4 linked regions of the Schizosaccharomyces pombe genome follow. Changing the gene in region 2 together with the main gene of any one other region gives a genetic interaction. Each region holds a gene or a part of one and is shown on either strand. Other genes may lie near its edges.

Region 1 (7,067 bases), on a different chromosome or scaffold from region 2:
AGTAGCATAAACGTCTTTCACAAAATCATCTCGTAATATATTAAGACAATCGTTTAAAAGTGTATTATTTATTTATACTTATGAGATTATTTGTAGATATCATCAGTACATGGACTTTTGAATGATGTCTTTTATTTAGAATATTAACTACAGTACCTATGGATGCATAGCCAAAACGTTTACGACACCGTTATTTAACATTAGTATGCAATAATGAGAAAAATAGCCTACAGCACCCGGGATTCCCATATTGTCTCCTACGATGGTACTAACAAAGCCATCAGACGCTTAGCTGCAGACGGGAACCGGTGTTTTCGCCTAGGTATGGCTGACAACAATACAACTGTGTTATAATTATTATAGTGCAAAATTGTTTGGATGTTGAAATGTGTAGTAAAAATAGAAGAAAGTGCATACTTTGCACATTGATCAGACGAAACGAAAAAAAAAAAAAAAAAAAACTATGATTGTGGTTTTAAGAATCTACCAATATTTTTAAAATCAATGCATCGAGCTTTCATTTTTCCGCGCCGAGCATCAAACAAATTGAAGTACTAGTCATAAACATAGATCATGTTTTGCGTTATCCTGTAATTGCTACGATAGCTTGTTAGTTGTTTTAATTTATAACTTGGAATACAACATAAATTACAGAGTAAGCGTTTATTTGATCATTTTTTTATTTATTACCATTTTATTTTATTAACATTCCAGTACTTCACTTTCCTTCATCGTTATGTTTTACACAAAAGTGCTCAAAAACATTTCAACTACACGATTATTTAGCAATTATGCATACACACAGCACCAATGCAATGGGAACTCGCCGAAGTTATCATTCATAATTTAATGTAATACCGACGATATCGGTATTCGCTTTAGTAAACTACGCTACAGAAACTTGTAAACGTGACTGCTTTTTTTGAAACAATATTTTGCTTTGCATAATCCTCTTTCACCTATCCAGGAACCAAAATGGCCAAGTCGAAGAATCATACTAATGTGAGTTTGTCTTTGTAGATTGTTGAATGAATGTTAATACTAACTGAGCTTAGCACAACCAAAACAAGAAGGCTCACCGTAACGGTATTAAGCGTCCTCAAAAGCACCGTTACGATTCTCTTAAGTACCGTGATGCTAAGTTCCGCCGCAACCAAAAGTTTGCCAACCGTGGTACCGTCGAAGCTATTCGTCAAGCTAAGGCCTCTGCTTAAAATGCTTGGAATTAGTTGTCTTAGTTTGGTTTCTACATAAATGGCATAATTCAACGTTTTAAAAATTTTGGATTTCTAAAATGAGAATCTCGTTTGATTTGTGCTTCTAAAAATAAAGGTAGTCTGCCGGTTAAATTTAAAGCGAATGCGTAGAGTAAGCTCTTACTGGATGTATATGAATAGCTGTGACGTTCTGTTAATCTAAAGTAAATTGTATCATTGCACTTTTTAACAAAATTACCCGTGAGATTAATTGCGGTTGAACTTGTTTTTCGTGCTAGACTGATGATTCGCCCTTATACATATTGGCTAACTTTCGGCTAATCTTCACCGAATTTAGTCAAGAATTGGGTGGTACAAATTTTCTATTAATTGATAGTACCTTAGCAGCAGTATAAATCTGAATTTCTTAATATTATTATTGTGTTCATAGACTTGTTAGTGAGTACTCTGCTAACTCGCCGGTAAATAGCTGTAATGATAATAAGCACCTTACTCTCTCTTACGATTAAACGGTGGCTTTATATTATCAAATCCCAAGGAATGCCGAAACATTGTATAAGCCTACTGTATATAAACGTGTGAACTACCATAAAATAGCATCACTGAAAAGGAAATTTGATTGCATAGTAGTATAAACAATAACTAAATAGGCAAATTATTTTCCAACGTGAGACCAGTATACATAATTGAAATGAAAGACCTTTAAACAAAATTGTCAATGGTCATTATAAAGGATTCCACCGATAGCAAACAGAAGCTTGCAGCGGAAAATGCCATCATCAACGTTAAGCACTCTCTCGAAGATAAGAAGTATAAAGTAGTTCAAACAACTATTGCTCGGTAAAAACATCCGTCTTTTAAGCGTCAGATTTTGTTAAAAAAGGGAATTTAGATGATGAAAAATAAAAGGCAATAGTCTATATACATCTAACAATTGACGGAAAAGAAAGAAAATGAATAATGAAATGGTAGTGCAAAAAATAATTTCTTAAAAGAACATTCAGTTATTTCATGAACAATTAATCATCGACCATTGAGAAATGACGAAAAGAAATCCGTTCAAACAGCTACATAAAGCGGTATTATCGTCGAATTGTTGCTTGTGGAAAATGAAACCAACAAAAAAGAATGGGAGAAATTGGATTGAGCTTAAATTACTTTGAATTTCCTGTCTTATTCTTCCGAGGTGGAGTCATGTGCCAATTTTGACTTGAACCTTGGTATCCGTAGCGTTGTTTTTTTTCAGCCGGTTTCAAAATCTGGAAACTGCACAACAAGCTCTCGTCAACACTCATCATCGCACCTGCATTATCAAACTCGCCACAGTAATTAGGTGCACTGAACAATGTGACTAGCTGACGTTTAGAGAAGAACTCATAACCGTCTTCCACAACCTGATGGGCTCGGCAAACAAGATCCATATCGTGTTTGTGCAAAAACCGAGAGACAACATCAGGTCCAAACGTGAAAGAAACACCTCTATCATTATCACCCCAGCCTGTAAGATCCTTGTCAGGATCAGACCAAAGTAAATCACAGAGTAACCCAGTATCAGGGACATCGGTCGGTCGCATGATTCTTTGGATCTGGTCCATAGAGTTCAAATCTGGCGAAAGACCTCCATGCATAGTAAAAATTTTTTCATCAATGATAGCTGCTATAGGAAGGCAGTTGAAGCAATCTGTAAATGTTTTCCATAACTTAATGTTATAACGGCGCTTACATTCATCGTAAAATCCATAGATACGATTAATACTGGCGCATTCATGATTTCCACGTAAAATAAAAAAATTTTCGGGGTACTTGATTTTATAAGCGAGCAAAAGACAAATTACTTCCAAGCTTTGTTTTCCTCTGTCAACATAATCACCTAGAAACAGATAGTTGGCTTCTGGAGGGAATCCTCCGTACTCAAAAAGTCGAAGAAGATCGTAATATTGGCCATGAATATCTCCACAAATTTTCAAAGGAGCTTCAAGCTCTAGAAGGATAGGTTGACTAATAAATATTTCACGTGCTTTGTTACATAAAAATCGTATTTCATCTTCAGATAATTGAACCTGTCTACCTGGACGACTACCACGGACTAAAAGAAGTTAGTAAATAGCTAAATGGTTTAAATGGTAAAATTAAGGATGGAAGTATTGGTTAGAAAAATCATTCACACAGAAACACGATATATGCCAATATGCAATCGCATTTGAATACAAATATGCGTGATTATGTATATAAAGCAAGTGTCATCACAAATGAGACCAAGAATCAAAGAAAATGCTTTCTAAACGTTTTCAAAGAAAAAACTTTCCCTTTTTCCTGGGTTTTCCTCAAATTTTATGAACAGTTGAATGAACATTTACATAGAGTCGTTTCCAGTTTCTTCATGTAAATTATTGTATTAAACAACAACTGATTTCAATTTCCTTTCAAAAATTTGTCTAAACTCAACCCTTCATCATGATCAAGTCTGCTTTTCCCCACTCACCTTCTAACAAGCGGTCGATAATGGAATCCAAATCCACATCTGGGTTCGACATTTTACAGGTATCCAATATAACCGCTTTTGACACTTATGAAGTCAAATTTTTGGGTCTGTGATTAATTTTTTACTCGACCGAATTTCGACGATTTTTCTTCCAAGTAAAGTGTTCCGAGGAAAAGTAAGACGGACGGAGAACGGTATTCAGTCGGCAAACCGTTTAAAAGCAATATTTGCTGCTAACTCAGAAATAAAGGTTATGGCTAACAGTAGGAAACTGGAGTGAGTTGTATGTAGTAGGTAGTTGAATGGTTGGGTGGTGGGTGTACAACGAGCTTGATGCATAATATGTGCCTACTTTCCTATATTCCTAGTTTCTATAATCACTACTACATTAAAAAAACGTATATAAACCTATAATTAAATTACTTTGGAATTCTTTTCTTATATTAATTGTTGATTTTAAACAACCCTCTAAATCTTGCTGCTCTACAAATTGTCTAGCAAATTGATTCAATTTTCTTTATTAATAAAAGGTGAAGAATAATTTAAATATTTTAAGAGATAGCAACCTACTTCAAGATAATATCGGTTTATTGTTTTGCAAGAAAACTTCATTAGAATTTAAAATGGTATATTCAGAACATTTTAATTTCGCAGTATTTTATCATAATATTTTATTTTCTTCTAAGCTTGATTTAGAAAATAAATAAATAATTTAATGTATGTTATCTGAACTTTTAAATTGAAAAAGCTGCACCTGCTTATGATTTGAGTTTGCTAATCATAATAATATGCATATATAATTAACAAATTATATAGTCAGATTGGTTTCATTACAGTTTTTCATTTTCTTGAACCCTAGACTTTTCTCTTCAAAAATCTCTTTTTTTTTTTTTTTTTTTTTTTTTTTTAATAATAAAAAAGCAAATTTGATGGATGGAATGTGATTTATTTAGACACTTAGCAGCATATAATTTAATTTACGAAGCAAAAAATTAAATATTTTTTTTCACGAGTCGATAAACACTAATAAATCACATAAGTTGATTAAGTGGTTTTTATTAATTGTAAAAGTAAATATATGATTGTATGCCATTGAATCCCATATATGAAATTTAATGCGTTATATTTATAATTTGTGATTAATTTATATAAATCGGCTTCTATACTAGATTTCTAGCTAAGTTTATTTAGCGGAGCTTCAATAAAACAAAATCAAATTAAATAAAATTTGTATCAAACGAAATCAACATCATTATTGCTACAGTAATAGATTTTGCGCTTTTGAGTATTATTACAAATATGTTCTGACTCGATTAATATAATGTCGCTCACATTTTGTTCACAACAAATATACCTGCAAAACTTTGATATCAATCAGAGAGAAAGATCCTTCCTTGGTTGAAAACTCATTTTTGGGTATAAAATAAACTCTTCTAAAAAATGTTTGGTATGACAATATTTAGACATGGAAAAAATTTAAATCTCCCTAAATTATCTACACTTTCTAAAATTTTATTTCCCTACAACAAAATTATCAATTCGTATATCACCTCTTCCAAAGTTTCCTTTGAGAAAACCCTTGTCACTGCTTTTCGTAATCCGACCCAACGTCGTAGCATCTCTACCTCTCCCACCCACTATTTGAAAATGTCAGCTAGCAGAACTAACGTTAACGTTGCTATTGTTGGTAAGCACACAATAAATTGAATGCTTGAATGTTTTGTAAAGCGAAAGCTAATCACTTAAAAATAAATAGGTACAGGAAACATCGGCGGTGAACTCTTAAACCAAATTAAGGGTTTTAATGAAAACGCTTCTACCAATGGCACTACCTCTTTTAACGTTGTTGCCATTTCTAGTATGGAAGGTCACTACGTCTCCAAGGATTATCAGCCCATTAATTTGTCTGAATGGAAGAACCTTACTTCTCAGAACCAAGGTGCTTATTCATTAGATGCTTTGGTAGATTTCCTTGCCAAGTCCCCCCTTCCCGCCATTTTGGTCGATAACACTGCCTCTGAAGCAATCGCTCAATCTTATCCTAAATTTTTGAGCAAGAAAATCAACATTGCTACTCCCAACAAGAAAGCATTCTCTGCTAGTAATGATGTCTATCAAAACATTATCAAGGCTAGCAAGGAGAGCGGTGCTTTATTGATGCACGAGGCTTCTGTTGGTGCTGGTTTGCCAATTATCTCCACATTAAAAGAACTTATCGCTACTGGTGATGAAATCATAAAGATTGAAGGTATCTTTTCTGGCACTCTGTCTTACATCTTCAACGTTTGGTCTCCTAACGGCAAGAAAGGAACTGCCTCATTCTCTGATATCGTCAAAATTGCCAAACAAAATGGCTATACCGAGCCTGACCCTCGTGATGACTTGAATGGCATGGATGTCGCTCGTAAAGTCACCATCTTGTCTCGTATTGCTGGTGTTCATGTCGAGTCAGCTAGCTCATTCCCTGTTAAATCGCTCATTCCTGAACCTTTGAAGAGTGCTGTAAATGCTGAAGAGTTTTTAGCTGGATTACCTAACTTTGATTCAGAATTTGCTAGCATGCGCGAAGAAGCTGAGAAGGAAGGCAAGGTTGTCCGTTTTGTTGGTGAGGCTGACGTTGCTAACAAGACCACTCTTGTCAAACTTGAAAAGTACGACGCTTCTCATCCGTTCGCTAACCTTCAATCGTCTGACAACATTATATCCTTTACCACTAAACGCTACCATACTCGTCCTTTGGTAGTTATTGGTGCCGGTGCTGGAGCTGCTGTGACCGCTGCCGGTGTTCTTGGAGATATGATCAAAATTATGTCTCAGGTTCGCGCGTCAGATGCTCCTTCCGCTTAAATTTATATTTAAAGTTTTGGTTTAGGTTTCTTTAAATAAAGTTTTATCATCTCTTTTTTTACTCATTTCTAGATATCTGGAATGGTTTCCGTTATTATTCTTTGAAATATTTTTGATAAACCAAATAAGAAGAATGTACAAGTATTAGAGCTATGTAAAGGATTTAATTGCTTTAATGATACTACTAGAAGAAAATTTTCAAATATGTATGTTGTAGTAAACTTATAGTATTTTTCAATTTTTTTTCTCAACTACGATGATTCTTTGCATTAGTGCATGTAGTTAATACTTCCGTGACACTCGATTGAAGTGTTATGTCCGAAGGCTTTTCTGAGAGACCAATATATTTGGAGTACAAACAAACGATCGTTTATATCGACAAGAAAATTTGTTTACTCAATAGCCTTCAATAGCGCCTTGAGATAAAAGTACATTATTTTGCTAGTGCATATTGGATTTATATTAAATTTTGAGAAGTTAGTGGTTCAGCTGGTAGAAAATATATCTCTCTACTACTTCGA
Region 2 (8,459 bases):
TTGAAAGAATAGCGGTAAGTCAAGTGAAGACCAAGCCCCAAAAAAAAGAAAAAAAAATATGTTTAGCCCAAAAATCACCAATTATAGCTTTTCACTTTCTTCAAAAGTTAGCTATTTCCCGTCAACTTTCAAAATAATGTTTGAATGTTTAATAAAACACTTTATTATAGGGTTTACTAGTAGCCTCCTTAGTGTTGGATTTCTGGAAGAAGGCAAGGTGCAGATAATCGTGAGAGAGTAATTTGATTACGGGTAATAACGAATACGAAGTACTTTGATAAAACAAATGAATATGAAAACCATCAATTACTGAGTAAATAAAAAAATTTCTATTTTAAAAGAGTTTTACTTTTTAATAAGTATTCCTTGTAAATTCACATTTCTTACAAATTTGTTCGGCAGATTCAAAAAATGCCCCGTGGCACAGAGAGATACTCAAAAGAAAGATTCTTTTTTAAGATTAAAAAAACAAAAAATTGCTCTGAGTGTAAATAGTGAATGGTCAAATGTCGACTAGTCGTTTCCATATTTACCATCAACATTATAAAGTAAATATTTGATTTGTAAATTAAAATACAGTCGACTAAAGTGTGGATAAAATGGCTAATACACAATACCAATGCTTTGACAGACAGAAAAGTAAGAGATCAAACCTACTGTTACCAGGGAAGAAGCGATGTAGCGACAAAGTCGAAATGCTGTTTGTGGTTCTTAAGCAATACGAAATTGTATAATATTATTACTAATATAAAGTAATCATAAAGGGATTCCAACATAAGACAACTAAAAATATATGAGGAGGTAGAAACACTTTACTAGTTTAAGTGGTTCAAGAAGCGTTCATCATTGTTCAGATTACGAGCAAAAGAATTATGGAGAAGGAGCTAAATACTTGAGATCTTCAAATATCTTATGAGTATAGCGATAAAGCTCCTCAACAAAGGCATCATCATGAGCGCGATGAAGAATACCACGCTGAGCAATTGCAGTGAAGTAAGCGCCGTTCAAGTGCTCTTTGGAAATCTCGGGACTGGTTGCAGCATATAAGGAAGTCATGGCGCCTCTGATTGGATCCAAAAGTAAATACTGGAAGACTGATTTCTCTAACAATTTGAGAGCAAAGGTAGGTGAGTAACGAGTCAGCTCGGTACGGATAACACCTGGGTGTAGACTAACGGAATATATTCCATATTTTTCTAAACGTTTGGCTAAAGCAATGGAATAAAGGATCTGGGCATACTTAGATTGTCCATAACGAGCAAAAGTACCCAAAAGTACATGCGGGAGATTTAGGTCAGGGAAGTAGATACCAGAATAAGGGGCCTGCAAATATGCAATGCTTGCGACGTGAACTATTCTAACATCGCCAGGTCGACATTCTTCTGCAGTACGACGGAGTGTGGGGAGCAAGAGCTCAGTGAACAAGTAATGTGAAAGGTAGTTGGTTTGAATCTGAAGTTCATAACCATCTTTAGTCAATTCAAAGGGAGGGTTCATGATACCAGCATTATTGACCAATATGTGTAATTTCTCTTCTTTGGCAATGAAAGACTCAGCTGCTTGGTACACGCTTTCGAAGTCTAACAAATCCAAACGAAGAAAACGGATCTTGGAATGTCTAACTTCATCGTGGATCTGTTTCATAACTTTTTGATACTTTTCCTCGTTCCTACCAGCCAGATAGACCTTTGCGCCTTTTCTAGCCAACTCGAGGGCAGTTACATAACCAATGCCACCTGAAGATCCTGTGACAAGAGCGACTTTACCCGTAAGATCGGGAATATCGTTAAAGGTCCATTTGGGTGTATTGAGACCGGTGTACTCTTTGAGAGTATTTACAATTGCGCTCTCATTCACGCGGTTGAGCAATCCCTGAAAACTGTAGGACATCGTAAAGAAATTTTTGAAGCTAATATCAATTAAAAAAAAAGAACTTTATAAACAATGAGCGGGGAGGATTTTATTGCAAAGAAGTGGCCAGAGAACAAACTTATTACCAATGTCTTTAACTCGAAACTGTAGCGATTATGAAATCAATCGATCAAGTTTGGAACAGATTCAAGAATAAATCAACAATTTTCTTTTAATAAGCGTTCTTAAGTTCTAGAAAACACTTAAATATCGTTCTCGTCGAATATGTTGAATATGGGTAAGGGTGGCTGCAGATGATAAGTTGCAAAGAGTGACGATAGCGGAAGAGGAAGCAATTCGTAATTTATACAATGACCGCTGACAAATTTCTTCAAAATCCAAGAAACTCAAGGCGTAACACGGCTTCTTTGCGGACCGAAAATTTGATCAAGCATGGTATTACATCGACTAGCTACTTTTGACTACTTGGCTTACAAAACGAAATATGGATTGTTTAGAATTGAATGTATGAATTGGGTGCTCGACAGAATATTGGAATCCTTTTAAAAATGTATAACTTGAACTTATTGTAATTGAAGAACTCGAATTCAGATTGGGCAAATGAAAGATAAAATTAGACTTAGGTATGAATAGAAACGAAAACTTAAAAATCTGCAATCTATAGGATTCCCTTCTTTAAACGAGTTAAACGTCATGTTTTATTCAGTAAGAGTCTTAGAAATTCATTTTTTCACTTATACTAGATCACAAGCATCTTACAGAGCCACCCAATAGCACATTAATCGGTTTCAAAAAGCAACTTGCATAAGGCTTAATATATCGGTGAACATTCCATTTGGGTGCTCATCTTCTGTTAGCATCATTTTGGTACGGTTTAAGATAAAGTTATTTATTTAAAGAATTAAATTACTCTAAAAACTTAAAATTATTGATGGTTTCCTCTTTTTCTCTGCTTTATTTACATTTTGCTCTAATAGTGTAATCTTGCGCTCGTTCATATTCAACAATACGATGGTCTAACGAATTGTGCTAACTCTACGGTGCTGGCTGTGTGAGTGAAACATTGTCGTCCGTAAAGTTAGTCGTCTCTATTTACACATGTACAACTCCAATTTCAGAGCCATACTCATTACTGTTTAGAATCCCGTCCGTTTCATTCGTTTTCATTTTTCTATTTGTCTATAAAATTCATTCTTTTACATAACTATTCATGCTCTGCTGGTTGTAAACATACGAGTCGTTAATTTATATTTGTTTATGTAAATGGAGTTGGACGATTTTAATAGCCGCATTCTCAGTCAAATTTTTGATAAGGTAAGCTTTTTACAAATTAATGGAGATAGAAGCTTGCTGTCCAGAAAAATGTAACTGGAATGAAAAGCAAACAAATGGAAATATCGTTGCAACGGCATTAAGGGCACTGTTGATCAATTCCATTGTATTTTACGATTTCAATTAGTTTTACTCATTGCTTTGTGTTTCCGTCACTACTCTTTTCATACCTGTTCTCCCTAGTATTGATGGATCTCACTTCTGTAGTGGGTTATTTTAAGTTTTTAGGTTTCTAACTGATTTATTTAGTCTTGGAAAGTTCGATTTGAAGCATATGAGTCTTTGTTGCATGCATTGAACCGAGCATTGGATGATTCAGACGTTTGTTTCCAGCCTTGGATTCATGACCCAGCATTATGGAAACAAGGGCTGTGTGATAGTAACGTACCAACACAAGAGCATGCCGTAAAATCTCTGCGATGCTTTTTAGACAAGTCTAGGCAAAAAGGAGTTAATTCTGCCAAATCGTTCGTTGTTGCTCCTCTACTCGAAAAATGTTTACCATCTCCTAGACAATCTATCCGTGATGCTTCTCACCAGGCTTTACTCATTTTAGCTAAATCCGATGCGCTGGACTATGTATTAGAAGGGTTATTTTCGGCGGCTCGCGTTAAGCATCCCAAGCAGGCAGTTGCTTCTATAAAAGAATTAAATAGTTTATTGGAGAATTTTGGAATCCCTGCACTTTCTCCTATTCCATTCTATAAACTGATTCCTACTTTGTTCGCCCAATCAGATAAGAATATCAGGCAAGAAGCTTCGAATCTATCCATAACCTTGTACGCTTGGGTTGGTAATGCATTCAAGACTCATGTGTTTCCTCAACTAAAGCAAATACAGGTCTCCGATCTTGAGGCCTCTTTTCAAAATGTTACATCTCGCACGACCACGGGAGGACATATTTCAAATTCCCTCAACACCCAAGAGGTGGTTCTTCCTTCTTTTTCATCGAATGCCAAACCCAAACCACATTTGTCCTCAAAGTCATCTTCGCAGGGAAACACTCTGCAACGCTCTACTTCTAGTTTCAGTACTCCTAACCGAAAGGTCTCACAACCTTCTGATTTTTCAGCATCTCCTTCCCGTTCCATTGTATCTCCTGCCAAAAACATTGTCGGAAGTACGCCCGTTGATGTTCTTTCCAAACTAACCCCAGAATTCCATACCGCATTATCTTCTCCCAAGTGGAAAGATCGAAAGGAAGCGTTGGAAAGCATGGTACCGGTGTGTTCCAATCCTGTTTATCAAGAGGGTGACTATAGTGAGTTACTTCGAGTGATTGCAAAGTCTCTAAAAGATGCAAACGTGGTGGTAGTGGGTGTAGCGGCTTTATTATTGACGCATATTGCCAAGGCGCTAAGGAAGGGCTTTCTTCCGTATACTGGTATTGTATTGCCTTCTTTATTTGATAGGTTTAAAGAGAGAAAATCGAGTTTGGTGCACTCTTTGCTGGATGCGGCCAATGCTATTTTTGAGAGCTGTGGGTTGAATGATATAATGGATGAGACGTTAGAATTTTTGAAGCATAAAAATCCACAAGTAAAAACTGAGACACTTCGATGGCTGAATCGTTGCCTACAATTGACGGATGTTTGTCCGCCTCGAGCATCGCTTGAAACGCTATGTAGCCTATGTGTGACATTGATCAACGATACGTTTGAGCCAGTCCGAATGGCTACCACAAATGTATTGGCAACACTTGTGCAAATTTTTAGTCAGCCAGTGTTGTCCAAGTATATTGTGGGATTGGATCCTAAAAAGTTACCAAAAATATTAGAACTTTCCAAGGACATTACGGTGAATGCGCATCCGAATCAACCCTCACGTCCCAGGCTGCCACGAGTGGCCTCTCCTTTAAAGACATCACCGGTTAAACTGGCTGTTACACCACAAGCACCTTCACCATTACCATCCTCGAATCCATCACAGGCGAGTTTGACAGAAGAATCTCTATCTACACGATCTTCGCCTACGAAACCATCGACGACGTCTTTGCGTAGTCAATCGTTGGTGAATAGATTTGCAAGTTCTACATTGAAAGCGCCATCATCCTCTTCAAAGGGAGTTTCGAATGCGGCGTCGTCAAAACAATCGTTTCCGTCATCCCCTTCGATTTCGAAAAAGTTAGAGACTAGTCGACTTTCCACGAAGAAGTTACCGGGATCAACGATGAAAGCAGCGTCGGCGCTCAAAGAATACCCACAGCAACAGTCTATGAAAAGTGGAGGAGAAAAGCAGGACAATTTGGTTACGATTACAATGTCGGAAAAAGTGGAGCTGGATTTGTTGAGAGAAGAAAAAGCCATTCGACAAGTTCAGGAAGCGGAAGATGCATTGGAGCGAGAACGGTTGTTTCGAGAGATCAATGATTTGCAAATTCAGAATGCAGAAATGAAAGAACAGGTGTATGAGAAAGAGTCTACGATATCGCAAAAGGAGGTGGAGATTACGAGTTTAAGGAATGAGAAGGATCGATTGAGTACACGATTGCAGCAAGTATTGTTAGAGTTGGAGAAGCAGCATGAGACGAATGAAGAAGCGATGGATATTGATTTAAAAGTTCCCGAGAGTGGAGCGATAGGGAGGGTGACGACAAGGGCGACAGCAACGACAGCAATGGACGAAAGTGGTAACGCTGGGATGGTATCGAGTGGTATTCATTCTGTGTCGACAAAGCCAAGTTCGTATGGGACACGGCGTTCGCTGGCAGGATCAATGTTACAAAAGCCGACGCAATTTTCGAGGCCGTCGTTTATGTTTTCACCAGAGGCACGAGACAACTGGAGGGAGAGTCATGATTTGTCAAGTCATTTGTGGGAGCAAATCCAAAGGATGAAGAAGGCGTAGTGCCCGGCGATGCATCCGAAAGTATGACTGATTAGGGCATGCTGGATTTAGCAAAGACGAAGAAAGGCAAATCGAGCGTCGTTTTTACGTGTTGTAAGAGAGGTCGTCAGTTTGGTGAATGCACAAGCGTGGAAATGCTGGTAGAGTTTTTTGTTGGAGTGTTTGTTAAAGTCGATTAGGTAGAGTTGAAATCACTCAATTTGTATTTCTAATTAAAGTCGATCATTTTGTAATGCTAATTGAAACGGTCAAGAAAGAAATCAGAGTTTTGGATAGATGAATAGGAAAATGTAGAAAAAGAAGAAAAGAAAAGAAAAAGAAGAATTCACGAGAAGAGAAGAAAAGAAAAAAGACAAATCACAAGAAGAAAAAGAATTCACGGGAAAAAGACAACTGCAACTTTTTTTCTGCGCTCCATTTGCCAATTCAACAAAGCGCGTCCCCTGTGCGCATTGCCAAACAAATACCACTAGCTTTAGGCTTGATCCTAGGATTAGCGAACAACGGGGGTACAGTGTAGTTTGGCGTAGTATGGAATAAGTAGGAACGAGTTTGTAGGTTTCCACGTTAAATGCAAAGTACGAAAGAGCTTTTCCACTGATAGATAAACGATGCATAAGGTTATACAGCACGTTATAAGGTATTGCACTATGCATTTTAAAGCAGCGCAGCAATTCGTTCCTTGCAAGATGGGCAAATAAAAACTACGAGGTGATAACAAAACGGTGTATTACTTTGCGAAAGCGAACGTACTGTATTACATTGTTAGTTAGTGTATTACGTTGTAAAATAATGCATTACATTGTAAAATAGTGCATTACATTGCACCTACTGAAATGCCTTGCATTCTGCTACATTTACGTGGTAGCTTACTGTACTACATTGCACTCTACTGCACTGCTTGGCACCCTCTTAACTGTCTGTCCTGCTGCGCACTGCCTTTGCGCACCTTTCCCATACCTCGGCTATATGAGACACTAACTTTATCCAATAGACGATCGCTTCTTGCGGCGTTTGGTTATCGTGCGCGCGCACCGTAGGGAAAGGAGGGAAGCAAGGCAGCGGCGGCAGAGCAGGAGTCTAGTACAGTAAGGCAGCGAGGAGGGAAAAGAAGATTTCCCATATGTCGGGAAGAGAGATTTGAGAGAGGGAGAGAAGTACGGACGGTCGGAGGAGCAGGAGAGAGAAGAAGAGCCATGAAAAAGGAAGTGAAAGTAGAAGGGAACTAGTAGGAAAATAGTAGGGAAATAATAGAGGTATTCTTTTGTTTATTTCGTTTAATTTTATTTTATTTCGTTTTATTTTATTTCGAGTATTCTTTTGTTTATTTATTTTCTTTCGTTTTATTTTATTTCCTTTTGTCGCTCTTTTTTCTCTCTTCTCGTCGCTACTCTAGCATTTCTAGCTATTATCAGTACATCGCCATGCCATGTGCCATGCAATGTTATGCTATGCTATGCCATGCCATGCCCGTTACACTCCCGTGTTCCATTTGGTGCTCCATTCCCGTATTGCCAAAGATAGATATTTCCGTATTCACTCGATCCTCTTCATCTTCCGAATAAACTGATAAAATTGTTGCAAGTATCTAATACTCATTCATAGTCAGCGTCGGCATTTTCTTAAACTCGTTTACAATCATTTCTTCTGAATTCATCTAATTTCTTCTGAACTCATTTCATCTTTCTTTTCTTCATTCTTACTACACTCATATCCCGTTTCACTCACAACTCACTTCTTCACAATATCACTCACTCTCTTTCGCTACTTCTTTTCTCTCTCTCACTTTTCCATTTCTTGTCACCTCGTTCCTTGTTACCTACCCTTGTTGCCTCTAACTTTTACCTTTTCTCTATTCTATTCTCTTTTGTTTTAACCTTTTTTTTTATTTTTGTTTCATCCATATTTATCCATTTATATTATCTTTCTTTCTATATTTATCTTTATCGGTCCATTTATCTTTTGTTTTTTCTCTTGTCTCTCTCTCTCTCTCTCTTACCTTTCTTTCTCTTCTCTACTCTACTCTACTCTACTTTACACTACACTATTCTATCCTAAGCTACTCCATCCTCCTCTACACTATCCTATCCTATCCCATTCTCCTCTGTCCTATCCTCCTCCGTTTTATCCCCTCTATCTCTATTCATTTCTCTACTCTATTTCCTTTTTACCCACTTTGCCTTCCTCTGCTCTATCCTTCTTCAACACACCCATCGTCACTTCTCCCTCTTCTCTCTTTACCACATCCTACCACTCCCCGGCCTATTCATTCTTTTCACTCTCTTTCTTTCTTTCACAACGACGACGCGTTTGTTTACCCCATCGGCCCTTCAACACTCGCTGCCCCCCTCCCCTCCCCCTTCAGCTCCAGTTAACGCGGTGCGCCAAACGCATTGGTCAACATCGCT
Region 3 (7,939 bases), on a different chromosome or scaffold from region 2:
AATGGAAGGTACTGGTGTTAATAAGAATGCTTCTACTGGCCGCTATTTCTCTGAAAACGATGCTGTCCGTGTTGCCCAAGGTGTCTCTGGTTTGGTCGTCGACAAGGGCTCGCTTCTTCGCTTTTTACCTTATCTCTACACTGGTTTGCAACACGCTCTTCAAGATATTGGTACCAAATCTCTTGATGAGCTTCATGAAGCTGTCGACAAGCATGAAGTTCGCTTCGAGTTACGTTCGAGCGCTGCCATCCGTGAAGGTGATATCCAAGGTTTTGCTACATACGAAAAGCGTCTTTACTAGTCGTGTATAAGGATATTTAGGAAAAATTTAATTAAAGTTAATAAATTGCATTTATAGTACTTATTTTTTTTTCAAGTCAATTGTGTTTTGCTTAGGTAGAAAAAAACAAAATTATGTACATTGGAGGTGGCAGACATATATGTACGCTTGTATTTGATAGTGCATTACGAACGAATTGTGCAAGTTTACTAAGAGAATTTTAGGGTTTATAAATATATAATCTAATAAGTTATTAATTCATTAAAAATTCATATCATCAAGCTTATCCGTTTTTTTTTTTTAAATATACCCAACAGGATATTTAGAGGATTCGTATTTGAATATACGGACCTTTAGGTGGCTTTCTCTTCTTCGTTTTCAGCCATGCTTAAAGATTTCCTAATAATGTTAGCTGGATTTGAAAGATGAAGAGTAGTCAATGAACTGAGGCTTTGTCGAGTCTTCGGTTTAGAAAAATCAAAGTTGTGAATAGCTTCATTGTTGAGGATGAATGTTGGTGAGTCCATATTGGCTCTGGAAAAATTCAAATCAGGAACTTTTGGGACTGGACTACCATCCAGATCAATAGTGTCCAGATGAGGTAAAGAAACATCGTCAGTTGACGAGTCCTCGGCCAGCAGTTGATCAAGCTGTGTGGATTCACTATTAACTTCTTGCTTTTTCTCCAAAGGACTTTTTATCAAAAGTCCAGGTTCTGGTTTATCTTCCAACATCGGGGAGACAGGCGAAGTAAGATTAATTTCAACATCTATCTGATTCTTATTTTCAGGCCGTTTATGTGCAGGAGTTGAAGGCATATGCATAGTATTAAAGAAGTTCATGTTCTTTAACTTAGAGGTTTGAATGGGTGAGTTATACGCGGAGGCACCTGAGTCAGACGTAGACATTGAATCGTCGAAACGAACCCTCTTTTTTGGAGAACGTTTTGAAAATACAACTGGTTTTTTTGGAGACTTCACGAAAAACATTCGAGGCAAGTTATTATTAAGCAAGGGTTGAGTGGGAAAACTATGAACTCTATCACGATTGATAGTTCGTGAATCATCGGATGTTGAGTTGAGCTTATAACTTTCTGATAAGACAGATATATTAGGTTTCTCGCCAAGACCAATGCCCAACAACCACTTTTCCAGTATCGAGAATAGCTCTTGCATACCTCCCTCTTTTAGCAATGAACTAGCTTTGAAAGAACTTCTAAGAAGGGATTCTAAAACAGGAGTGAACTCATCAACTTTATTCTGAGCATCTAGAACCTGATTCTCAATAATTGATTTTAGCAAGTCAACTTCATCCTGTAACACATCAGCGTACATGGTAGCACCTTCTTGTTTGTATGTGTTGATAATGTGAGAAACACTTCTCTGAAACTTTTGGTATACAAGTTCAGGATCTATATCAGCAATGATCTCTGCACGACGAGTTAACAATGATTCTAACTTTGAACGAACTAAAAATACTCGTTCATCTGCGGAATTCGGAAGTATTCGCTCATAGCAGGATAACCAGTACTTAAGTACGCGAATTGAATCATCAAAATGTTTCACCTTTTCTACCTTATTAATAGTATCATTTTGCAGTGGTAAAGTCTCCTCAAATGTCATACGCAATAAATTTCTGGCTTCTGCAAGCTTCGATTCATGAGCAAAAGATTGAGTTACAGCGTCCTGATCAGAACCATTTGATTGCGATGACAAATCGATCTGTGCGAGACGATTCTCCAACTCTGAAATTTGCTCACGTAACTCAACGATTGCTTTTACATATTGGCTTACATGTCGATCTACACTGATCATGTTCCTTAACACTTCGGTTTTGATATTCTTTGCTCGATTAGCATATTTTAGAGTATTGTGAGTTTCTTCGTAATGAACAGAAGACGGAGATACGCAAACAATCATAACTGTCCGACAATTTCCGCCTAAACTAAACTTAAGTAAGCGAGTAAGTTTAGAATCACGATAGGGGACATGCGCACGGCGATGGGGATCACAAAGGGCATTGATACAATTTCCTAGGGCTAAAAGAGATTTATTAATATTAGCACCTTCAAAAAGACGACTACCTCTTAATTTGGTAGCTGTTGCACGTTCTGAGCCAGCCAAGTCAATAATTGATAAAGTGGCCAAAGTGTGGTCCTCATTGATGCCAGCTGTACGAGGTTTTTGGATCAACGTAACCTGCAATACAGCATGCGAACGAGATGAAGCAGCGTTAGCTTCTGTCGGAGACATAGTACGATTAGCATTTCCCTTCATGATAATATCAATGATTTCTTCCAAAGATTCTGGAGACAAAGAAGTAAGACCTGGTACAGTAATGCGACGGTCTGCATCTTCCCGTAAATTTAATGGCTTTGCTTGATTTGGGGTCGGTGATACTAATAAATCACGAATAGTTTCATTATAAATTTCCAAATAGGAAAGGCGAAGGTCAAAAATTTTTTCATCTCTTAAATGATCCATTCTCTCAAAAAGTTCTTTTAGTGTCAAATATATTAAACCAGGATCTTGCATTGTTCCACTAATGGTGTGAGTTTTACCACATCCAGTTGCTCCATATGCAAAGATAGTAGCATTGAATCCATCCAAAATATTGTCTAATAACGGCCTGGCAGTTCTCTCATACACCTGTTGCTGAGTAGCAGTTTCATCAAAAACCCTATCAAAAGCATAACGAAGATCACGGCCAAATCCCGCAGAATTGTTTGACTTTCTAGATAATCTAGCGAGACTCTGTTGAGAAGTAGAAAGTCTGCGGTTTGTGGCACTCAAAGTAGCCGTTGTTTCATCCGGGGGATCAAATACCAAGACACGTCCATCAAGTACCTTTACTACTCGTCGAATTTGACGTCCTGAACCAGGGTTCCTTAAGGAAGAAGATGTTCCAAATGATAAACGATCTGAGGATGCAATTAAATTTGCAGATTCAGCTGTACTAAATGGGCGAACACGGACTATTTTATGTTAGCAAAAAGATATGAATTTAAAAAACATCACATTAAAGACTAACCTGTAACGGTAATGGACGACTGTCTTGACATTGAAAAGCAAAATTTCCATGCAAGCAATCATCCAAAACAGATGAAAAGAAGGGCACTCGCAAACAACAATTCCAATAACCTTCTTGAATAAAAGCAATTTATATCGAAGATCACTATTAAAATAGATGTAACAGTAGAAAAGAGCGAGAAACGCGTTTTTTGAGTGCGCTTCAATGTTGACTGTTTGGCATTTGCCAAGTTACATTTCTTAGTCAAGTAACGCACTTTGTTTTGAATGGTTGTTATGGCAATAAAAGATGTAAACAATTACATTATTTACATATTTTGACAATAAACACAAATACAGGTAGTTACGATTAAAATCGAGTTGAAATACTGTTTTACCTTTTCATTTTCACTAGTTGTGTATAATGCTATCTCAGTATCATAGATGCTTTTACAGTATTTTTATTATTATAAAAGGCAACTAAATTCGATGATTGAACTGAATCGCTATCGTTTGGTTTGTAACTTATAATGTACACATGCCTGGCAAGATTCTTGCTTTGCTTTACTTTTATCACACTTTAATAAATCGTCCGACAAATTTAAATCATTTTCACCTATAATTGCAATAGAACATCAAATAAGTGTATATATTCTTCTAGCACTTCTATAAACACCACAACTGCTGCACTAGCTACTTTATTGCCAATTAACTGATGGCCTAAATATCTGATTAGTTTGAAAGCAGAGGACTAGTGAGCGCTATAAACAAAATTATATTCTATATTTTATATTGGGTATTCCTATATTCGTTAGGTACTAAATACTGAGTTTTACTTCACCTTTTAGTCGATATCGTTGAGACTTTTACCAATAGCAACTATAATGAATTAGGGGTTTTTCGTGCTATAACATTACCGCTCAATTTCTTTCAAACCACCAAGCGTCAAATTAGAACTACCTACTAAGCATTCGAATATGCAATAAAATTTCACCTTTGCCATAACCATAAATTTTACTATTGTTGGATAAGTCTTATTATTGCTAAGTAATTGATTACCTTAAGTTCATTTATCAAATAACAAAGCTCTACGTTTCAAATTTCAAAAAAAAAAACTTAACCTACTCATTGAGTTGTTTCAAATAAAAAAAAAGCAATTGGATTCTCTTCTGTTGGAAAGCACCCTTCATACAGCAATATTGGTATTTAAGGCATTGAATTTAAATATATTACTATGGCATTTCGTGATTCAACTCGCGATTTCAACAGAAGTAGACCTGAAAAAAGGCATGCTTCGAGATCTTCTTCACCTCGTTCATTTCGACCTTCAAATCAAAATGCAAGAGCAAATTATAATTTAGTAAGTAGGAAAATGTTAGTTGTTTTTGAATTAACCTTCCCTTTAGCCGAGAGTGAGAGATGCTATGAAAGAGGAAGAGCGAAGTAGGGAAACGAAAGAAATGCAAGAACGGGAATTTTTGCGTTTACAGCAGCTTCGAAGAGCTATTATTCGACTTAAGAATGATCGTTCTAAGCCTATAGATAAACTTCTTGTCAGCGTTTACTTGATGCCAGGCCCAGAATGGGAAGAGAATGGAGAAAAAAATTCAATTGATTTTGGAACAGTTGACATGTTTGATCCACTCTCTGTTATTCAAGTAAGGGACTTATTTTATTTTTACTTTATAACAGATTAATCATTAACATACTTAGAGTTATAAAGCAGAAGATTTGGAGGAGATATCTAGAAATATTGGTGATATTCAGCAGCTGGAAACGAACCAATGTAGACTAACTTATTGGAAGGTATGGATTATTTTTTATGCTTTAAGTGCTAAATTATACATTATAGTACGTTAAAATGCTAGTGAATTCTCGAATGGAACATAACAAAGTTGGGCAATTTTCAAGAGGGTTAAAGGTCGTAGCAGGTGAAGTACAAAGGATTTTAGCCCCTAAATCTTTTGAACAATTAGAACAGCTTGAGGCACAAATTCAAAAAAAATTGAAGAGCAATGTCCCTCTCGATACAGATTATTGGGTTGATTTACTAAACTCTTTAAAATCTTACAAGGCCATTGCTTATTTAAAAAAGACTTTTAATGAAGAATTACAAATTCGAAAAAATAAACTTGATAATGAAGAATGGGACAAAGCTTTTTCCGATGCCAAAAAACTGTCAAATATGAAGGATCGTGAAGAGAAGTTATATATTGTCCCTATAGACCCGAAGCCCATTTTGAGGGCTCAAGCGATACCACGCAGGATACAACCTGAAGAACAAGCCGATTATGAAAAAGAATTGGTAAGATATTTGTGTTTTTCATAATATTAACTCTCTTCCAAATTACGATTTCCATCTTTTGTCCTAACCAAAATCTTTTCTAGAATGATCATGTCAATATTGTAAAGTCTAGCACTTATATTCCAATATCGATACCTACCCAAAAACAAAAGCCAACTTTGCCGAAAAACAGTAATCTGATTAACGAGGATGAATTTTCAATTGCCAACAGGGCACGACTCGAAAGAGAATACTTACAATCCGATGATGCAGAGGAGCAAGAGATGCTTGGGGACTATGTAGAAGGGCAAACCCGTGTTGTTAACGAAAACGGGGTTACTTTGAAAAAGCCTCACTACTTTAATAGAGTTTTGCTTGGGTTTGAATGGAATTCTTATAATCAAGCACATTTCAATGAAGCCCACCCACCTCCCAAAGCAGTTCAAGGGTACCGTTTTAACGTTTTTTATCCAGATTTAATAGGTACAGGCCGTGCACCAACGTATCGAATAGAACGAACACGAAGGAAGAATAAAAGCGACACTACTGATTTACAAGACGATGTTTGCATTATACGTTTTATAGCTGGGGAACCATATCAGGATATTGCCTTCAGTATAGTAGATAAAGATTGGGATTACAGTGCAAAACGAGATCATGGGTTTAAAAGCAGTTTTGACAATGGTGTTTTATCCCTCCATTTTCGATTCAAAAAGCTTCATCATAGAAGGTAAAATAACTGATTTATCATGTTGTACATTTAATGAAATTTAAATTACTGTTACATGTGCAGCTAAACAACCTTAAAAGGCATCTACTAAACTACTTAAGTATTGCATAAATAAGTTTAATCGTAAAGAAACACGAAATCGATTAGTTCGTGATTGAAAAGCTAAACTAATTCAAGAAGAAGGGGGTGATAAATAGAAGGAAAAGGCATCATAGAAATTTGAAGTTCCCTGACATAAAAATATGCTTCGGATGTCCTCAAAAAGCATCTTTCTTCCCCTAATTTTGAAAGGTTAGAAAAAAATAGTATAAATCGAGTAATAACATACGAAAATGACTCTTCCAGAGGCATAAAGGGAATACAAACCAAGACCAGCCATAACAGCGTAGTAAGGATAAACAAGAGCAAAACTACCTGGTCTCTAAATATTAAACAATTAGGTTCTTTTTTCTCTTCATAATTAAAAACAAGTTTCGTTTAAAACTTACCTGCAAGTAAGTTGGTTTGTGGATGCTTTGGAGAAAGCGTTGTTGTTGAACAATAGTATTCTTCATTTTTTTCTTTTTTAATTAATAATTGTTTTAATAATTATAAAACGAACCAATAATCAAGTTAACAAGTTAAACTGTTAAAAAAATGAGGGTTAACGATAAAATGTAGGTAGGTGCGGAAAGGATTGATGGTTCCAATTAGTACATCTTGGTGCCAGAACACAGAGTCAACCTCATAAACTCACATATTTAAGTATATTAATAAGACGGTTAAGTGAAAGATATTCGTATTATTAAAAAAATGCTCCTTTATCGTTTTTGGTATGTATCATTTTAAATTAATCTTACTGAACGAGATTAACGCTAATAATATAAATTAATTGTTGTCAAATAATTTAAGGACGGAATCATTGTCAGATTGATTCTTCTTCAAAAACTAAAGCTATCTCCTTATAAGCTATTGGGGAATCTCTTTCAAACATGGTATAAATGCGTCCATGGCATACTCGGAGCAATAATAGTATAGCGATCAAAGTTAATAATGAAGATGCATTTGCTTGTACTTATATAAATTCTTATGGTTGTTGAGATAAGGGAACAATTTTATACTGAGTTACATATGTTCTATCCTTCATCAGTATTCTCTACAAACGCGAAAATTCCTTGTCCATTTAAGCAATTCGTATTACAAAGCTCTATGTTCATATTATACGAAGGACGTTGAAAGTTTTTAATTGATTCTGACAATGACTTACAGATAGAATATGATGGTTTGAGTTATTGAAAATGCTAAATCGTCTTTTCAAGTAATTGATGAACTAAAACAGTTTCTTATACATTATATTTCAGAAAGTACTTTAAAGATACTCTGCTTTCTTCCTTGTTTTTTTTTTTTTTTCTTTTTTTTTTTTTTTGGAATACTAATACCGAGAAAACTTTCGTCAAATTTTATGGGCCTAATAATAATCTTATGAAATTAAGGTGCACTTAACCGAGCTATACTTTAAAGATTACAATTATCACAACTGAACACAACATTATATTGTTGGGGTAAACCTTTAAATTTCATGCATTTGAAGAAAATTGATTGCATTAGCTTAAAATATAGCTCACTTAGTGACTGGATGATCATCATAATATTATGTC
Region 4 (9,356 bases), 440 kb from region 2:
CGACTGTTGAGATGTGAAGGATGGAGGAACAGATATTATCACATGCATGGCATGTGCATTTCCTAATATAGTAACGATTTTATATGGAAGCTTTTCTCCCTTCAATAAAGCATCAGTTACTGCGATACGTAACTCTTCGGAAGGTGCTCGGTCCAAAAGCTGCAAGAAGGCCTTTTTAGAAGAGTTGAAGCCGGCACTAAAAACGACAATACTTACTAAACAACCAAAAAACGGATCTAGCCATGGAGCATTAAGAAAGTAAGTGCCGGATAAAGCAAGCAGTGAAACCATTCCCGTCAATGCATCTGCTCTATGATGCCAGGCATTGGCTAGTAAGATATTTGAATCTGTTTTTTGAGCCACCGTTCTCGCTAAATATACTATTAGAATCCAATAATAGGTGAAATTACTTACTTTTTCGGAAGAGCCATTCTTTAAGAACAACACTACCAAATATAAGGCCAAGTGCCATAAAGGGGTGTTCAAACAATAGTTGAGAAGGATTATGAGAATGACCAATGTGCGTGTGTTCTGAACCAGCGTATGGGAATAGTATAGTATACAATCTCGATAACGATGAATGAGCAATGCCTACAGATACAGCCACCAATAAACCAGATACGGTGAATGTACCTATGGTTTCCCATTTGCCAAAACCGGCAGGGTACTTTTGTGTGGGCTTCTTGCTACATATTTTCAAGGTAGCCAATGTTACCAAGTCCGAAAGTGTATCTCCTAATTGATGAGCAGCATCGGCGACAAGAATGCTAGATTGTAGAGCAACTCCGCCGATACCTTTGGCGGCTGCTAAGCCTATATTGCTGTATCTATAAAAAGTGTTAATAGTCAAGAATATCTATAATAAAGGGAAGAAATTGTCAAAAGATCTGTCGTAGAACGAAAGCATAAGAGAGTACCAGTTTAAAAATGGTCTCATTAAATATCATGAGTTATTTAGCTAACTTTAGGGCTACAGTTCCTTTGTTGCCGCTATGCTCCGAATTGATAAGAAAAGATGACTTTCTTTTTTTCTTTTCCATACTTACAATCCTAACCACGCAAGTTTCAGCTCTGGAGATTTCCCTTCTTTTTTCAAAGCTTTAACAAGCTCTAACATTTCTTTGTCCGATCCATGGTCATGGGTATGAGTGTGAGAGCCAACACTATGCATTCTTACAGCATTCCGAATTTCAAAGCCAGATTTCTCGTGCAATCTGCTGCACAATGTCGGTAGAAAACGCGGCATCGCTCGACATGAGCGCGCTGACGAATTGAACGTTTTCAGCATAGTGAGTTTTGTACTGTTAATTCAAGAAAAGGGATATCTATATATAAAACAAAACTTCTAAAGAAGTAAATATGTAGAAAACCTGGAAATTAGGGCTCAACCGGCTGTCTGTGAACTTTCGATTGCGGATGCAATCTATTTTTAAGTGTATTAATATTTTTATCAGAAATTGCAGACGAGGTTCAGGAACTTTGACTTACTTAATTAAACTGTGTTCAAAAATAAAAAATGGATAACTTAATAATCCGAGCGAAGCCTAAAAATCTAAAAAACCTCCTATTTCAATTCTGCAAAATTTGAGCTTGCAAACTCATAATTTTGTAAGCAGCGTCTGACTTTCAATTATAAAAATCTAAATATCCGTCCAATTCTCTTAAATTAGTTAAGATCTTTGTTTTGTTTAGGATCGGTCTCTTCTATCGATTGTGTATATATGTATCTAGGAGAACGTAAGATGTCGATCCCGTACTTATCAGATCAATGTGAAACTTTACTACACCAGATTTGCACATCCGAGAATCTTTTAATTATGGATAGTTTATTTATATATTAACTAAACACTTTATTTTGTAGCGCATTACGGGTTTAACAAAAAGATTTATAATTTCATTATCAGTCAAGATCTACCATTATTATTTCACCAATATTAAATAGCATAAAATATATACATTTTCTTTAGTAACATGTGAATTAACGAAAACGAATGAACTAGTATACAACAAGGATAAATGATATTTCCAAGCGTTAAGCACAAAATGAATATTGGGAAAGGAAGTCGCTTCGGCGCAGCATAGCTAATCATTCCCATTAATATCTAGCTGTATTTGTTCCAAACAGTAAGACAAGCAGACGAAAGGGCATAAGTTGATGTACAATGCACCACTTCCGAAAGAGTATTCAAAACCTCACTAACATAAGAGTCTCCTTCACTTTCCGCATACATCTGTTTCACAGCGACTGATGTAGAAGCATAAAACTTTCCTACTTCAGTAGTTTGGTAGATAGTATCAATTGGGAGACCGAAAACAACCTTTACCTTAGATGATACCGAACGCAGGTATAGCTCAACATTTATGATAATAGACTTATCATCATTTTCAACTGACAAAAAGGGCCAATGGTACCATAATCGCTGGAAATCTTGGACAAGATAAACAATTTGTTCCCAACAAATTGAAACATCGTTAAGATACTTCTTCAGAAGACGTAAGTTCCTAGAAAATACCTTGGAATGCCATTTAGAAAACGACGATGCAACATGCTCGAGCACATTTGAGCTGCAAGCATTACTTTCGTTAGGGAACTTACAGGCAATATCAACGTTAACTTGGAAATTTTGCCTCAAAATCTCAACCGTAACCTCGGCTGAATAAGGAGAAAGAGCAGTGTTATTTGTAGCTAATTTAATTCCGCCCGCGGTCAAAGAAACTATGGTCCAGCCAAGTTCATTTTTAAGATTTAACAACTGCTCCTCGTATCGCTTAATTTCGTCAAATTCAAAATCTTGGTTTTTCGCATAAAAATCTTGTTCAGCGTTGGTACGTAATTCCAAATCAGAGCAAGAGTTTGTCACTTGTTCTATCTTTATTGCCAACTCCTTTCTTCTTTCTTCTTTTTCACTCAGAAGCCGACGTCTCCTCTCAACCTCAACCTTGAGTTTCTCTAACTTTTCTTGCGCCTGCGCTAGAAGAGTTGAGTCATACTGATTTGCAAATTCCTTCTGCTTCTTTAATGTCTGTACTGTAGTAATACTACCATTGTATCTCTCTTGAATTTCCTGCGCATACGGATGAATAACATTCGCGACATCCATTAAATGGGTCAAGCTTCTTTGCATCCCAGTTAAATTTAAATTTAATTCATGTTTGATTCCTTGCATCAAACCCTCACGCCATTCGTACCAATCACCTTTTGCTTGAAGTCTAGCAAAAGTTTTCATCATTAAAAATTGTGAATCCATTAAAACCCTCATATCACTGGATGCTTTCCTATACTCATAGAATAGTAACGGGTTCTCTTTCAAAGTTTCCTCTTCAATTTTAGTAACAAAATCCTTCCCTTCGGCAATATAATCCTGTAATTGCTGACAACTAAATTTGTATAACTCTAACAAAGGGAATTGTATGTAAAAAGATTCCAAAAGTTCTTGGATACTGCATTTCTTATTTTCTTCAGCATTTGGCAATAGGGTTTCTCGTCTTTTAGCAATAGTAAGATTATCCAAAAATTCAATTCCGGTCATTTTAAGAAAATCTGATAGGCTTATCGGCTCGACGTTTGGTAGAGTTGGCATCGTATCAAATTCTGGCTCATTACCAACAGGTATTTCTTCATTTGGACCAGAGTCTTGATTCAAAATGTTCGTGTTAATAGTCGAAGCGCCCAACGATGTATCAACATTGCTCACACCTTTTGATAATTTGACGGGTGACTTCTCATGTTCATTCATGCCCACGGAAGTTGTATTACCTGCATTTGACGAACCAACTTGAACAAGTTCATTCCGGTTGGGTTCCTGAGATTCCAATCGCTCCAAACTAGTTGAATCGGCGTAATCTGCAGTTGTTATACGCTCTTTTTCATCCTCATTCGAAGGTTGTTGAGGAAGCTTAACAGAAGAAGTCGTATTAGTTGGAACGTGCTTAATTTCGTTAGTCTGTTGAATTGTTAGTCGCTCTGTTTTACTCAATCCAGAATCAACATCTGCATTAGACACTTGTTCGCCTTTGTCATCAGTGGGTTGCCTTGAAACTTCTTCAGGAAGACTTGAAAGCGGCTTTTCTGTGGTGAATGGCTTCTCTGCGGTAAGTGGAGTAGCTCCTAGACGATAATTTTCGGATCGCTCAACCGATTTATAGAGACCAGAATTTACTTTTTTTTCGAAAAAGTTAACCGGTAGAAGTTCTCTGTCATTCAAAGTTGAAATTGATTTTCGAGCATTACGGATTGTTGCAAGACGATTGCGACGCAAGGTACTTTGATCAAAACTTGAAGTGCTATATCTTAAGCGTCTTTTCCGAGTACCAAGCTTATCAGTAGGAGTCGCTACCACATGTCTACTTGGAGAAGAAGAGTTAGGATCTTTCGAAAATTTTAGATTATTGTTCCCATTTGGTGACCGTTCATGGTTGGTAAAGGAGGTAGTATTGAAATTTTCTGACTTATCACTATATGAGGGTATTTCTTCTCTCTCGGCATTTTCCTTGTCTGCTGAAGGTAACTCAACATTGTTTCCACGGATTTGAAAAGCCACTGTTTCGTCCATAGCAGCTTCTTCCACCTCAAGATGAGATGTAGAATTCTCACAAGGAAAAACTGTTGAGGTTAATTCCATTGGTTGCTCTTCGGAAAGTGCTTCTTTAGAAGGGGATAATATATTGAAAGGTCTAGTAATGTCCATAAAGTCCTCACTGTCGGGAATGGGCTTTGAAGAATTGGCAGTCTTGTTATTATCCTTTCTCGGTTTTGAAGAAGAGGATATATTTGAGGTAAATTGATTTAAATCATCTTCATTCAAATGGGTGGGTGCATTTGTAGAGCTAATGGGTTGTGTCAAGTCCATTATTTGCTCTTCCATGGATCGTGACGATGGACGAATGGGGGAAAGGAGAGTTAAATGTGAGTTTTCGATATTAAAGGCGGAGGTGGTATCCATTTCTTCTTCTCCATTAGTTAAATCGTTCGGAGAATGATTAGTTAAGTGAGGATTAGCATTAATTGGTCGGGTAAGGTTCATAGGCGCTTCTTCTAAGTTTTGTAAATCTAAGCCATTGGAAAAATGAGACACTGGAGATAAATTAATGTTATTAGAGGTAATATCCATGTCAACAATAGCTTCTTGGGAAGTTAAAGGGCGAGCGATGGGGGAAAAGTGTTGCGGAATTTCAATAGGTCGAGTTAGCATCATATCTTCTTCTTCTTCTTTATTTTCCGACTGATCGTGATTTTCGTTATTTTTGGAGAAATCCGAAATTTCAATACTAGTTGGACTAGATGATTTGTTAGGGGATGAAAGTTGAGTTTGGTTTGAAGGGTCATGAGAAGCTTTTAAACTATAAACAGTACCTTGCTCGCTAGAGCTAAGACCTTTAATTGATTCGGAATGTGATAAAAACGAATCTGCTTCTTGGAATTGGATAGTCAAATCCATGTTAGTTTCCTCTCTATCATTAACCTGCTCTCTCGTGGCATCGTGAACATCAAGTGCCTTTTCTGCTTCAGGTAAGGCTTTTGTTGGATTCTGGATACTTAAATCATCATTCTCCGGATACAGAGAAGGAGGCGGATGGCCAGCATTCAATGCCTCAGAGACCATATCTGATTCGGTTGACCGAATAGGGGACGCAATGTCCATATCACTACCGTCTGAAATAATCGAGGCACTATGACTATGGGGAGATGATTGTGTTTCGTTTCTCGAAAAACTTGTCGTTGTTGGACCTTTAGGGGAATGGTTTTTAGCATCAGATGCAAAAGTTCGCTCAGGTGTGCTGTGATTAGATGTCGACTTTTCCGAGTCACTCTGGTGATCTTTAGGATACCAACGTACACGTGCATGACTAGCAAAGGAAACTCTTCTGTTCAAACTTTTTCTAGACGTCTCACGCGACAATTGCTGTAGGTCTTCCATTTGAAGTCTCTTTGACGCAGCCATAACATTACTAGAGATTCCAATGACCGTGTTATTTATTTGTGTGTGTATATCATTAAAGTCTTCATCTCCTGTGAAAGCGGGATCTACGGAAAAGGATGAATAACTCTTTAGAATGCCTTTTGCTGGATTTGTGTGTTCTTTAAGTTCTTGAAGCGCACCAGGTCCTCCAAGCGAGTGTGGACGCTTCCTACTTTTGTTTCTTCCTATAACATTATCGGTCGTCGCTATACTATTGCGACGAGGCGATGTTGGCATCGTCAAGTTAAACAAAGCACGTCGACACACGAACTTTGTTGTTTTTAGATTAAGACGAACATAAGAAATTGTAATGATAGTTCGTTAAATTTATGGCGGTGAGTTTCTTTTTGCGGCCTAGAACGCCTTTCGTTGTATTATTTAAGGAGTCTGTAAGCCTTTTTAGGATACGGTAGACTACGATGATGCTTTCTGTAATCATTCCTGTTAGCTAATCTGAATAAATAATGAATAAAGATCCTATTTGTAAAAGTTCCAATGAACAATATGACTGTTGTTCATTCTTATCATTAACAAATTGTATAAAGTAAAGGTAAATTGGGGGTACTTTTGTTCAACTGGGTCTATTTGTAATATTGGGTTTTCTGTAAACAATAAGGTAATGAGCATCACAAGCATATGCGCACTGTGATGGAGGAATACAAACTTCAAAAAGGTATAGATATCTAAGATTCACTTGAATGTTTTGTCAAATGAGCCGCACTGTTCTTTTGGCATAATTTAATGGATTAACTTGAAAGCAATGTGCGGTTGTAAGAAGTATAAGTAAATTGTAGCGAGGTTGTTATAAATTATTATTTCGCAAATTGTATATTATAATAATACTCGTGAATATTCCTTTAAAGGAGTGTGTTTATTTAATATCATTCCAGCGGCTTATAATCAATAATCGAGAAAAAAACTGTTTATTGTTAGTATTTCTATAATTTGATGGATATTGCCATGAACTTACAACCACATGTAATTCTATGTTCTACTTTCCATTGAGGTTCTCGTAACCTGTTCCATCATTGTTTACTATTCAAAAGTGGTTATAAAAGGTTACCGGCTAAGCAAATATAAGCTAGCTCATTCTGAACTATTTCCTGTTCATTTCCATGGTTATACTTAGCCATAGTGAAATTGACCAGACATTAATTCGTGTACTTTTCCTTTTACGATGATATATTGATCACAAATAGAAATTATAAATCCTTTTAAGTCAGATTACGATTGCGTTGCTAAGACCTGAAATTGATATATTATGTACTATAATCCATATGTGTTATTAACAACACTAATGCTTTCAAATCACAGTAAAGCTTAGTAACATAACTAGCATTTGTACAACATTTAAATGAGTAAAAAAAAAACAAGTATGGCTGAGCTCGCTTGTCTTAATATTTTTTATTAGAATGATAAATCATATACCACGATTAGGATTTCTTTGAAGAATGGAAATACAAAAGGACGTAAAATGTTTATATTCGGCACAGGAAGGATAGCGTTGTATAAACGAATGATAATTGTTCAGTATTTCAAACAAGTAAGGCTTTTGTCATCAATACTAACATTCTTTTTTTTTTTTTAAATCCGGGAAATTGACAATTCTTACAATTGGATATTTGTAAATCCCGTGTATCCCGTAGTATGGTATGATATTCTATTCGTTGCATTTGGTATAAGCCTTCAAATACGAGCAGACTTGGTTAGCCCAATATCATTCTCCCATTTGGATTTAGTCAATGTTACGATATAAATGGTCACAAATCTCCGGTATCGTAATGTTATCCAGTTTCAAACGACATAACATGTTTCAATTTAATAATGACTTATTAATAGTTGCATAACTACTGTATTTCACTAGAATCCTTTACTTAGCATAATGTGTGTGACATGATAAAAAGGGCGTCAGACATCTTCTCTGAGGAAGATTTGATAAAAATAGAAAAAGTATTGTCTATACAGCAGTCCAGGCTTGTCCTTTAACAATTGCAAAAATATAGATTATTCCACAATTCATTTAGCATACTAACTTTACTTAAAAGGGGCCAAACTAATGCTTCAAATTGCAAGGATTAGCCAAAATTGTGCCAAAAAAAAAAGAAAAAAACACACAATAAGACAAGTATTTCTTCGTTACAACACTAAATAATGAAATCCCAAGAATCACGAAGTTTTCTATGAGTGCTCCATCATAAATATTCTCTAAACAAGTGGACTTAATGTATCCAAACATAAACAAATACAGAAATCACACCCATTAAATATTTTATGTAACGATCCGCTTAATAATAAAATTGTAAATTTATAAAAATAAAAAAATAAAACCACGCAGTATTCAATAATATTTATCTCCGGGTACAATGAAGCTCCTAGTAAATATAAAAGACAATTGCAAATTCAGGTAATCGACCGGTAATTTTTACACAATAATGAAAGCATTGTTACGAGACTGACCTATAAGATGGTATTATTACTAAATGAGTCTGCAACCACGCCTATATTAGGTCAAAAAGCAAACCAAGGGAGAAATGAAGTCAATAATACGCATAGGAGACGAATATAAGCTGTGAGCTAACCAAACCGCAATAAGAGGCTTACAATTGTTCCCCGCATGATTTTTTGAAGCTTTTACTATAAAAAGGAGTCCTTCGTAACGGCTGGCGACTTACTAATTGTCATCCAATTCAAACAAATTTTGTCAGTCTTTTATACACAACAATAGAGCCAATTCCAGTTCTTTTACCTTTTCATCCTCACCAATCTTTTGCGCATAGTCGTTTTAATAACCTTTGACTAATATGCAACGAAATAACGGCGAAGGGCGACCTGAGGGTATGCATAGAATTAGCCGCTTTTTACACGGCAATCCTTTCAAGAATAATGCTTCTCCTCAAGATGATTCAACCACAAGGACAGAAGTTTATGAGGAAGGGGGAGTGGAAGACTCCGCCGTCGATTATGATAACGCTTCAGGAAACGCAGCTCCACGTTTAACTGCCGCACCTAACACTCATGCTCAGCAAGCGAATTTGCAAAGTGGTAACACATCAATTACCCATGAAACTCAAAGTACCTCCCGAGGACAGGAGGCTACTACATCTCCATCGCTATCTGCTTCCCATGAAAAGCCTGCCCGTCCTCAAACCGGCGAAGGCAGTGATAATGAAGATGAAGACGAAGATATTGATGCCCTAATTGAAGACTTGTATTCTCAAGATCAAGAAGAAGAACAAGTAGAAGAGGAGGAATCTCCTGGACCTGCTGGAGCTGCTAAAGTAGTCCCCGAAGAGCTCCTTGAGACAGATCCCAAATACGGTCTCACAGAATCTGAAGTCGAAGAGAGGAAAAAGAAATACGGTCTTAATCAAATGAAAGAAGAAAAGACAAATAATA

Evidence for each region.
Region 1: mutations in dis1 (region 2) and dis2 are lethal when combined (synthetic lethality), as found in Schizosaccharomyces pombe (2 studies listed by BioGRID).
Region 3: mutations in dis1 (region 2) and klp5 are lethal when combined (synthetic lethality), as found in Schizosaccharomyces pombe (3 studies listed by BioGRID, with this or other methods).
Region 4: mutations in dis1 (region 2) and spc7 are lethal when combined (synthetic lethality), as found in Schizosaccharomyces pombe (2 studies listed by BioGRID).

What each region holds. Positions count from the first base shown.
Region 1 is NC_003423.3:3,171,348-3,178,414, forward strand, and holds dis2 (serine/threonine protein phosphatase PP1 catalytic subunit Dis2), read right to left. Parts: upstream 3,752-7,067; coding exon 3,700-3,751; exon of another isoform or gene 3,632-3,699; intron 3,351-3,631; exon of another isoform or gene 3,304-3,350; coding exon 2,372-3,303; 3' UTR 1,818-2,371; downstream 1-1,817. Other genes in the region: rpl29 (60S ribosomal protein L29), read left to right, coding at 976-1,002, 1,056-1,214; hom6 (homoserine dehydrogenase), read left to right, coding at 5,347-5,386, 5,456-6,546. UniProt on the Schizosaccharomyces pombe protein: Essential role in cell cycle control. PP1 is perhaps required for exit from mitosis.
Region 2 is NC_003421.2:339,899-348,357, forward strand, and holds dis1 (TOG/XMAP215 microtubule plus end tracking polymerase Dis1), read left to right. Parts: upstream 1-2,966; 5' UTR 2,967-3,135; coding exon 3,136-3,186; exon of another isoform or gene 3,187-3,453; coding exon 3,454-6,051; 3' UTR 6,052-6,344; downstream 6,345-8,459. Other genes in the region: SPOM_SPCC736.13 (dehydrogenase), read right to left, coding at 871-1,890. UniProt on the Schizosaccharomyces pombe protein: Has a role in sister chromatid separation.
Region 3 is NC_003423.3:1,708,581-1,716,519, forward strand, and holds klp5 (kinesin-8 family plus-end directed microtubule motor Klp5), read right to left. Parts: upstream 3,538-7,939; 5' UTR 3,342-3,537; coding exon 3,311-3,341; exon of another isoform or gene 3,255-3,310; coding exon 634-3,254; 3' UTR 501-633; downstream 1-500. Other genes in the region: IMP dehydrogenase Gua1, read left to right, coding at 1-301; cay1 (cactin), read left to right, coding at 4,523-4,648, 4,695-4,946, 5,002-5,094, 5,141-5,593, 5,677-6,306; cytochrome c oxidase subunit VII Cox7, read right to left, coding at 6,560-6,580, 6,631-6,723, 6,791-6,856. UniProt on the Schizosaccharomyces pombe protein: Has a role in establishing metaphase during mitosis. Required for chromosome segregation where it generates tension during kinetochore capturing.
Region 4 is NC_003421.2:784,418-793,773, forward strand, and holds spc7 (outer kinetochore KNL network protein, KNL-1 family member, blinkin, Spc7), read right to left. Parts: upstream 6,244-9,356; 5' UTR 6,198-6,243; coding exon 2,103-6,197; 3' UTR 1,872-2,102; downstream 1-1,871. Other genes in the region: mmt1 (mitochondrial iron ion transporter), read right to left, coding at 1-371, 415-827, 1,047-1,288; P3-type proton ATPase Pma2, read left to right, coding at 8,762-9,356. UniProt on the Schizosaccharomyces pombe protein: Acts as a component of the outer kinetochore KNL1 complex that serves as a docking point for spindle assembly checkpoint components and mediates microtubule-kinetochore interactions.